Linked DNA regions of Caenorhabditis elegans. The protein of the gene in region 1 interacts with the protein of each later gene in a pairwise test. Each region holds a gene or a part of one and is shown on either strand. Other genes may lie near its edges.

What was found.
Region 2: the proteins of C17E4.2 (region 1) and rad-23 interact in a two-hybrid assay, tested with the Caenorhabditis elegans proteins (2 studies listed by BioGRID).

Annotation. Positions count from the first base shown.
Region 1 is NC_003279.8:9,410,266-9,414,011, forward strand, and holds C17E4.2 (Cilia- and flagella-associated protein 157), read left to right. Parts: upstream 1-2,040; 5' UTR 2,041-2,048; coding exon 2,049-2,633; intron 2,634-2,680; coding exon 2,681-2,773; 3' UTR 2,774-2,957; downstream 2,958-3,746. Other genes in the region: C17E4.19 (uncharacterized protein), read left to right, coding at 349-801, 987-1,100.
Region 2 is NC_003280.10:11,651,095-11,655,023, forward strand, and holds rad-23 (UV excision repair protein RAD23), read right to left. Parts: upstream 1,636-3,929; 5' UTR 1,635-1,635; coding exon 1,563-1,634; intron 1,517-1,562; coding exon 1,433-1,516; intron 1,384-1,432; coding exon 580-1,383; intron 526-579; coding exon 514-525; 3' UTR 168-513; downstream 1-167. Other genes in the region: coa-7 (Cytochrome c oxidase assembly factor 7 homolog), read right to left, coding at 1-54; rpn-12 (26S proteasome non-ATPase regulatory subunit 8), read left to right, coding at 2,033-2,122, 2,167-2,222, 2,269-2,344, 2,418-2,813, 2,865-2,999; nep-1 (Neprilysin-1), read right to left, coding at 3,379-3,478, 3,802-3,929.

The DNA.
Region 1 (3,746 bases):
AGATTAAATTAAGCAATTCTAGGATTTTGTTTTCGTACCTTGCACATATTAATTGCAAAGCTTCGAACACCTGGGACCCTAAACCTAATAGTATAATTACTGTTTTTGGTTTACTCCAAGAAAATTGATTTTCTCCCGACATCTGCTCATATTAATCCTTTTGGCACCGAGAGCTCATTTCTTCTCATTAATGGTCTCTGTTAGGAACAAAGATTAATTTTGTCTTCTTTTCTTCTGATTTCAAAAGTTTAAATACAACTTTCTTTTAACTTTTCAAAAGCAATTTTCCGGCTTCTCACTTTTTAACCCATTATTTGCATAACACAGAATCTTTAACATTTTTCAGACATGGCTTCCGAGTGTAAATCTTGCGAAAATCTCGTGGATCATATTAAGGAAGAGATGTTTCACATTGAGGAGCTAAGAAGTGAAATTGAACAACTTGAACAATATATTCGGAATCTTCAAATCAACTTTGAGAAAATTCAAACTGAAAATGAAATTTTGAAGACACAGTTGGAAGAAAAAGAAACGGAAGCTGAGGAAAGTCAACGACTTCTTGATGTAATCCATAAAGATCGTGATGAATGTATTGAAGAAAAAATGAAAGTTTCAAGATTTTATCGAAATGAAATCAAGAAGGTTATAGAAGAAAATGAAGCTCTACGCAAAGAAAACAATAATTTAAAAGATACATATAACAATGAAAATATCGCAAAGATCGGGAAAAATTTGGATAAATTACAAGAAGTTAAGACAGACATTTGCAAAAATAAAATCAAATTGAAAGAGGTTGACAGTGTAAGTTGGTTTTTGTTGTAAATAGAAATTCTATCGATAGATATTCTGGAGTTTGCCATGAAACTTTTATAGTGCCTAATTTTGGAAATTTGTCGAACGGAAGAGATATCGTAAGCAACGGCGTCTTCCATCTTCGTTGCAAATTTTTTATTTTCAAATTCCTCTATTCAATTGTTTCATTTCAGATCACAACGAATGCATCCGTAACTATAAAAAATCAGAAGATTGAATTATGTGAAATGGAGAAGAATGAGGATGAACTGTTTGAAACCTTCGAGTATATCGAGATAGACCAGTAGCATGGAATTCAAAGTTATTCGTTTTGAATTGCTAAATTCAATTTTTTTATTCAATTGTTATCAGAAGCTGTATAAATTAAAGAATTTATGATAGTTTAAAATAAGAACTGATGGCACGAGGAGAATATCATTATGACATGTCTTAAATTCAACTATTTAAATTTATTCATATTTATATTATATGTAATTCACCTAACTCTTGAATTTGATACCACATAGTTAATCAAAAAGTATATACATCTACCTATTTCAATTGTATTCGATTGTGGACAATATCGTATGACTTCCATACTGTCGAAAATGCCTACTTGGTCTTACCCGTTGTTTCACAACAGGTCTCTTTCAAGATGATGTTCCATGTCGTACTGAAAACTGATTCAATTTTTATTTTCCAGCAAAATATAAAAGTTCATGAAGCCCCAAAAAAGTCACTGATTGTCATTTATGGACAAACAATACATAACTTATGCCTTTGATTAGTTAAATTTTTATTTTGCTCGAGATACTCCCCCTTCAGATGTTTTTCCATTTTATAAATTGTATTAATCCCAGTAATTTACTATCACTCAATACTCTTTTTTTTTACAAGATATTGGTTCTTCTATTGCCCTTCTATTGCCCAATTGGCTCAAATGGCTCCTCAATACAAGGTCAGCTCATCGATTTCAGACAAATAACACAGTACAATTAGCACCTGGAGGCAGACAATGGAAGATAATACTTCCCAAAAGAAAGCTGACTTTTGGGAAAGGGGAGTACGGTAAGACAATGTTGAAACGCCTAGAAACCCGCTGGAATTATAGATATTTATTATTGTCTGAGAAGGACAGCTGTTTTTTCTCCAAGGTAGGCCTAAGGCCCGATTCTCCAAGATAATTGCTCCTGTTTTGTTTGAATTTCGTCCTTCACCGTACATAGTTTTTTTTCAAAATTAAGTTTCGTTTCCAGATGAATCCCAAAATCTCTGTCTACGAAAATTCCTCCAACACTTTGGAGCTGACCCAACTAAAAGCAGAAAACGAATTTCTGAAGCATGAGCTCGTGGAGCAACGAAACATTTTCGAGTCAATGCTCGGAAAAGAAAAGTTTGACTTGACTTTGGAGATCATGCTTTTGAAGAATCAGGTCGAGGAATCGTTCAAGGAAAAGAAGATGATTTTGGCTTTTTTTGATGAAAAGGACAGCGAGAAGGAGCAAATGGTTTTGAAATTTACCAGAGAAATTGATGAGCTCAAGGAAATCATCGAAGACAGTGTTTCGGATAAATTGGACTACAATGAAGAGACAAAAGCATGTCATTCGGAAATTGAAAGACTTGAAGATGAATTGAAAAACCGCAAGAGGGATCTTAGACGAAGTGCACGAGAAATGAAAGCAATGGAATCTCAAAAAGATTATTTGATGACAGAGTGTGTACAGCAAAAGCAGGCGATGAAACGATTGGAATCTAAAAATCAAAAGCTTTTGGATCATATGACAGCAACTAGTGAAGGATATCAAAGATTGTCAAGAAACAATGAAAATCTTCTGAAGGTTAGTTCTTGCGATCTTGTCATTTTCAATATTAAGTCAACTTTCAGACGAATGCATTGTTGAATGAAATGATCGGCAGATTCATGGCTCGAGATCAACGACAAGTTCAGGAAGAGGAAACTAGTGTTCTGAAAAAGTGATTTCTGAAGAACGTTCACAACAGCTTGCTCATCGCCCTTCATCGACTGTCAGACCAACTTCCTTTTGTAGTTTTCTAGTTCTTCCATCTCCCTGTAACTCCATCGATCATTCATGTCATCTCATCATTGTAATAATTCAATTTTCTAGAAATCCCTTTCCAGATAAATAAATGAATTAAACCGTATTTTATTGTGTATCTGAAAATGTCGAAACAAGCAGAACGTCATGTGCATTTCGATATCTAACGACTTTGATCTGCCTATTGTTGCAGGTGTTTTTTAAGAGCACCTAGATAACCAATAGGCCCACTACTCGATCGACAGAGTCAATAAAACGTATTGCAGTGGGAACAATTCTAAGAGGTCATTCACATTGTCCCCCAATCGGTGCTAACTATATATTTCAACTGCTACGTATAGCAGTAAAGAACATCGCCTTAATTTTTATCTATCATACACTGGCAGCCTGCCAAAAATGTTTTTTGGAAAATGATTAACCAAAACTTTGACTGAATTTTTTTTCAAAAATCTAAAACAAGTGTAAAGAGGCTAAATTTCTACTGAAAAGCGTTAATTCTTCTCTTCTTTTCTCCTTTTGTCTCTCCTGGAGAGCGTAAATACATAAAAAATTAATTTGAATTAATTTTTTCATTAAGGAAACCAACATCCTATACGACTGTATTCTTATTCCTGAAAAATTCACTGTCTCATCAAAAAAACCACAACTCTCAACCTCTTATCTTATCATTCTTGTTATCTGACTAGCTGCCATCGAATATTGTTCTAGTTGGGATCTCAGGTGTTCACTCGCGATAAATATGATATGATAAGTTGTGATATGTATTGTCGGACAGTGAATCTCTATAAAAATTCCGCATTGAATTTTAAAAACAACATAATTTGGCTAATACTGCACCTGTACAGCGAGATTTTTCAGAGTAATTACTAGTTATGCATAGGAAAATACTGTATC
Region 2 (3,929 bases), on another chromosome or scaffold:
TTCCGCCCTTTCGGCCTGTTCCTGCATAGCTTCTTCGCTTATTTTTCCAGACATCTTCAAGTAAAGTGAATTAGCGCATATTCAGAAGAAATGAACGACCGATATTGGAGTACGAAATCGTGATGACTCATTGGGTAAAGTTTGATAAATCGAAACGAAGAATCATTAAAACATTTGACTTTCATTTGAAAATGTTGGATGACAAAAGGGAATTACAATACCGAAATTATGTCACACAAAATTCGCTGAACGCGACGAGAATTTCAACGAAGTGCCTACCAGTAGCGGGTGACAATCAGCACATGGAACTGAATGTGTTATTATCTTAAATATATAGACAAAGGGCAATCGAGAAGGCGATGAATACACATTCTTGGAAGAAGTGTTAATAAAAAAATTAGGCTGATAGGAGCAAGAATATAAGCTTTACGGAAATGGGGGAGAGAGAATAAATTAATTTCTGTTGCAATTTCCAGTGACGGTGATCAGAAGTTATTGGCATGGGTAAGATAATTATTCCTCATCCTGAAATAATTAAAAATTAAACTTCTAATTATCTACGTATGGAAATAAACTCACGAGGTTGCTGAAAATAAAGTTGATAGCGGCTTCCTCGTTTTTGTCACATGCGAAATAAGCCTCCACAACCACAGCTTCTGGTGCATTAACAACTATGGCTTTGATTCTCTCAATAGCAGCAGCTTCTTCGGGACTGAGATGGATAACATGGCGACGTGGGGTGTTTCTTTCTGGCGCATTTCCTGCAGCGGCTCCGGCTCCTTGAGCTCCACCATTCAAAAGATCCATGAAAGCTTGCTGGTTGTTCTGAATAGTCTGAACAAGTCTTGGGTTGACAGCAGCCAACTGCTGAAGGACTGCGGCGAGCATTTCAGGATTTTGTTGAATCAAAGCTCTAATTTCTGCAAGCTGTGGCATGTTTGCAAGCATGTTAAGATCGTCATTGCCATCCTCATCCACGTTATCGATGTTTTGCTCGGGCCCCAAATCTGGTTCTTGGTCAGCAGCATCATCAGGAAGTCCGTTGAGAAGAAACTCGACTGCGCGGTCTGGATTCCAGAATGCTGCGCGCAGAGCAGCGATAGTTTGTTCACGGTCATAGCCCATTCCAGTGATTGCGAGAACGTTCTCTTCTTGCTCATCCGTAAGCGCCTCCGCCTCAGCAGGAGCAGCAGCTTCAGGAGCAACATCGGCAGCTGGGGCTGGGTTTGACGCAGGAGCGGCAGCTACTGGAACAGGCTCAGCAGCTGTGGCAACGGTAGATGAAGGTGCAACTTCTGTGACTTTCCTTTTGCTGAGCATCACAACAACGAACTTCGAAGAATCGAATCCGACTTCTCCGACCTTCACAGAATCGTCGAGAATCTAAAAAAAAAACATACTTTAAAGATATTATGAGCCTTCACTGTAATACCTTTCCGTTGTAGATTAATTTTTGAAGTTCTGGAGCATAATCATCCCCTTTCTCCGAAGCGACCAGAGCCTTTACTTCCGCAATCTGAAAGAAAAATAAAATACAAGTCGAACATTAACTCTAATCTTACCGTCTGATCTTCATTCAATTCCAAATTGAAGTTAACTTGTGTGAGAGTCCTGAATGTAACGGACAAAACCATCCTGCAAAAAATTGTGAAATGTTACGAATAGAGTCATGTATTGAAAGAAAAAGAAATAAATATCGATAACAGATTGATATTAATGCAAAACAAGCAGTATATATGTATAAAATAAACAAACATTTGATTATTAATAAAAGAACAAAACAAAAAAACCATTTTGAAGAACAAAATAAGTGGTAAAAAACAGAAGAGAAAATGGCTTGGCGTCTTAAAGGCGCACATGATTTGAACACTCTTCGTGGCGAGACCTGCCAGAATTGTCATTGTGTCGATTTACGGAGAATGCGTTTATTTCTTTTTTGAATGTTTTATTTTTATTTTTTAACTTCACTTGTGTTTATCGTGAACTTTTATCTTCGATTTTATCAAATTAAAACATTATTGGATTTAAGAAAATGTCTGCCGCCCATAAAAATCTTCTGGCTGTGTGGGCAAAGGAGCCAAAAGATCTTGTCGCAGTTGAGAAGGCTCTGAATGAGTTGACGGTCAGTTAATTGTTTGTCAAATTGTAAATAAATTGAATTTTCAGAAGGTTCTCAGTGCCTCCAGCGATTTGAATGATAAACAGTCTGCATTGGCTTCAAAGTAAGATTTTTCTTTGGTGTAATGAGTTTAAATTATTAATTTTCAGAGATTTGTACGAGATTTCGGTGCTCTTGGCAATTCTGAAGCACGATTTCGAAACGTTCGACGATTACATCAATCAGGTGAGTCTTTAAATAATTATTTGGAAAATTTATGTAATTTTTAACGATCTGTAAATTATTTTTAATTTTCCAGATGCATACCTACTATACAATGGCGCCAGAAAATTCTGAAAACAAGCATTTAATGACTGGACTCCATCTGATGTTCCTGCTCGCTGCCAACAGATTGTCCGACTTCCACATGCTCCTCGAACAAATTCCACAGAAAGAGCAAACATCAAACGCTTACATCTCTACGCCAGTTCGTATTGAACAGAGTCTCATGGAAGGAGCCTACAACAAGGTTGTGCTCACCGAGAAGAATATTCCAAGCCCCTTCTACACTATTTTCATTCGTATTATGCTTGACACCATCCGTCGCGAAATCGCAACATCTATCGAGAAGTCTTTCAAAGTTCTGACAGCGAAGGATGCCACGGTCATGCTTCTGTTCGACAATGACGAACAAATGAAAAAGTTTGGACAAGAGGTAATAATGATTTTTAAAGCTACAAGTATTAAAAAATATATTTATTTACAGAGAAAATGGCATTTGGATGGAGAGCGTTACGTTTTCGAAATTGAGGTGGCTCAGGAGAAGCCTGTGAATTTGGATACAGTGCGAGTCGCAACTCAAACCCTCTTCTACGCCAAGCAACTCGAACAAATCGTTTAACCGGTGTCTTTCAAGAACTCAAGCATTGTATTTGTAAACTGATTTTAATTTATTCGCGTCTTTTTCTCGGTACTGTAAGAAAATGAACTTTCCGATGCATTGTTTTAGCAAGTTTTAATTACATCTGAAAATTTTATTTGCACAAAGATTTCTGGAATGAACAAGAACATCTATCAATATGATATACCAAAAAAAGAAGTTGGAAAAATTCGAGAAAAAATACATAGAGGGACAAAATACAGTGAATTCGAGTGTCTATTGTTTTCAACAATATATACAGCTAGATGAGTAAAAAAAAAGGACGAAAGATTTAGTAGATTCTGAGAGACAGATAGATAAAGCGTGCCAACTTGGTTGACTCCTTTCCCGTATTTTCTGATTACCACACAACACAGCGTTTCGTTGGATTCATCGGAGATCCAGCTGGACATTTGAAAGCCTCGGCAAATTCTGGCTGATTTGTTAGAACCGTGTTCACTCTGAAAAAATTATAAATAATTGTTGCCAAAAAAGTTGAATGAACGATGATGTGTATTGCGTAACATATTTTTGAATATCTTGTAGCGAAAACTACATGTAAATAGTAAATCGTCTACTTATGGAAATAAACTCACGAGGTAAATCTTTAAATGACTACTGTAGTGGTTTCGATTGTTAAACGAAAAATAAATAAATTTCCGAGCCCGTAAATCGACACTACAGTAGCCCTCTAAAAAGTTACTGTAGTTTTCGCTACGAGATATTTTGCGCGTCAAATATGTTATGTAATACGCATTCTCGGAATTTAGTGTTTCAGTAATACCTTGCAGTTTCTGGTGAGTGAGGATCAGTGAGTAGCAATAAAGTCTTGGTCTCTGGCGTCTTGGCTCCACACCAAACTTGAGCATATCCAACGAAGAAGAGCTGCTCATTGGTGAGACTTTCAAATTG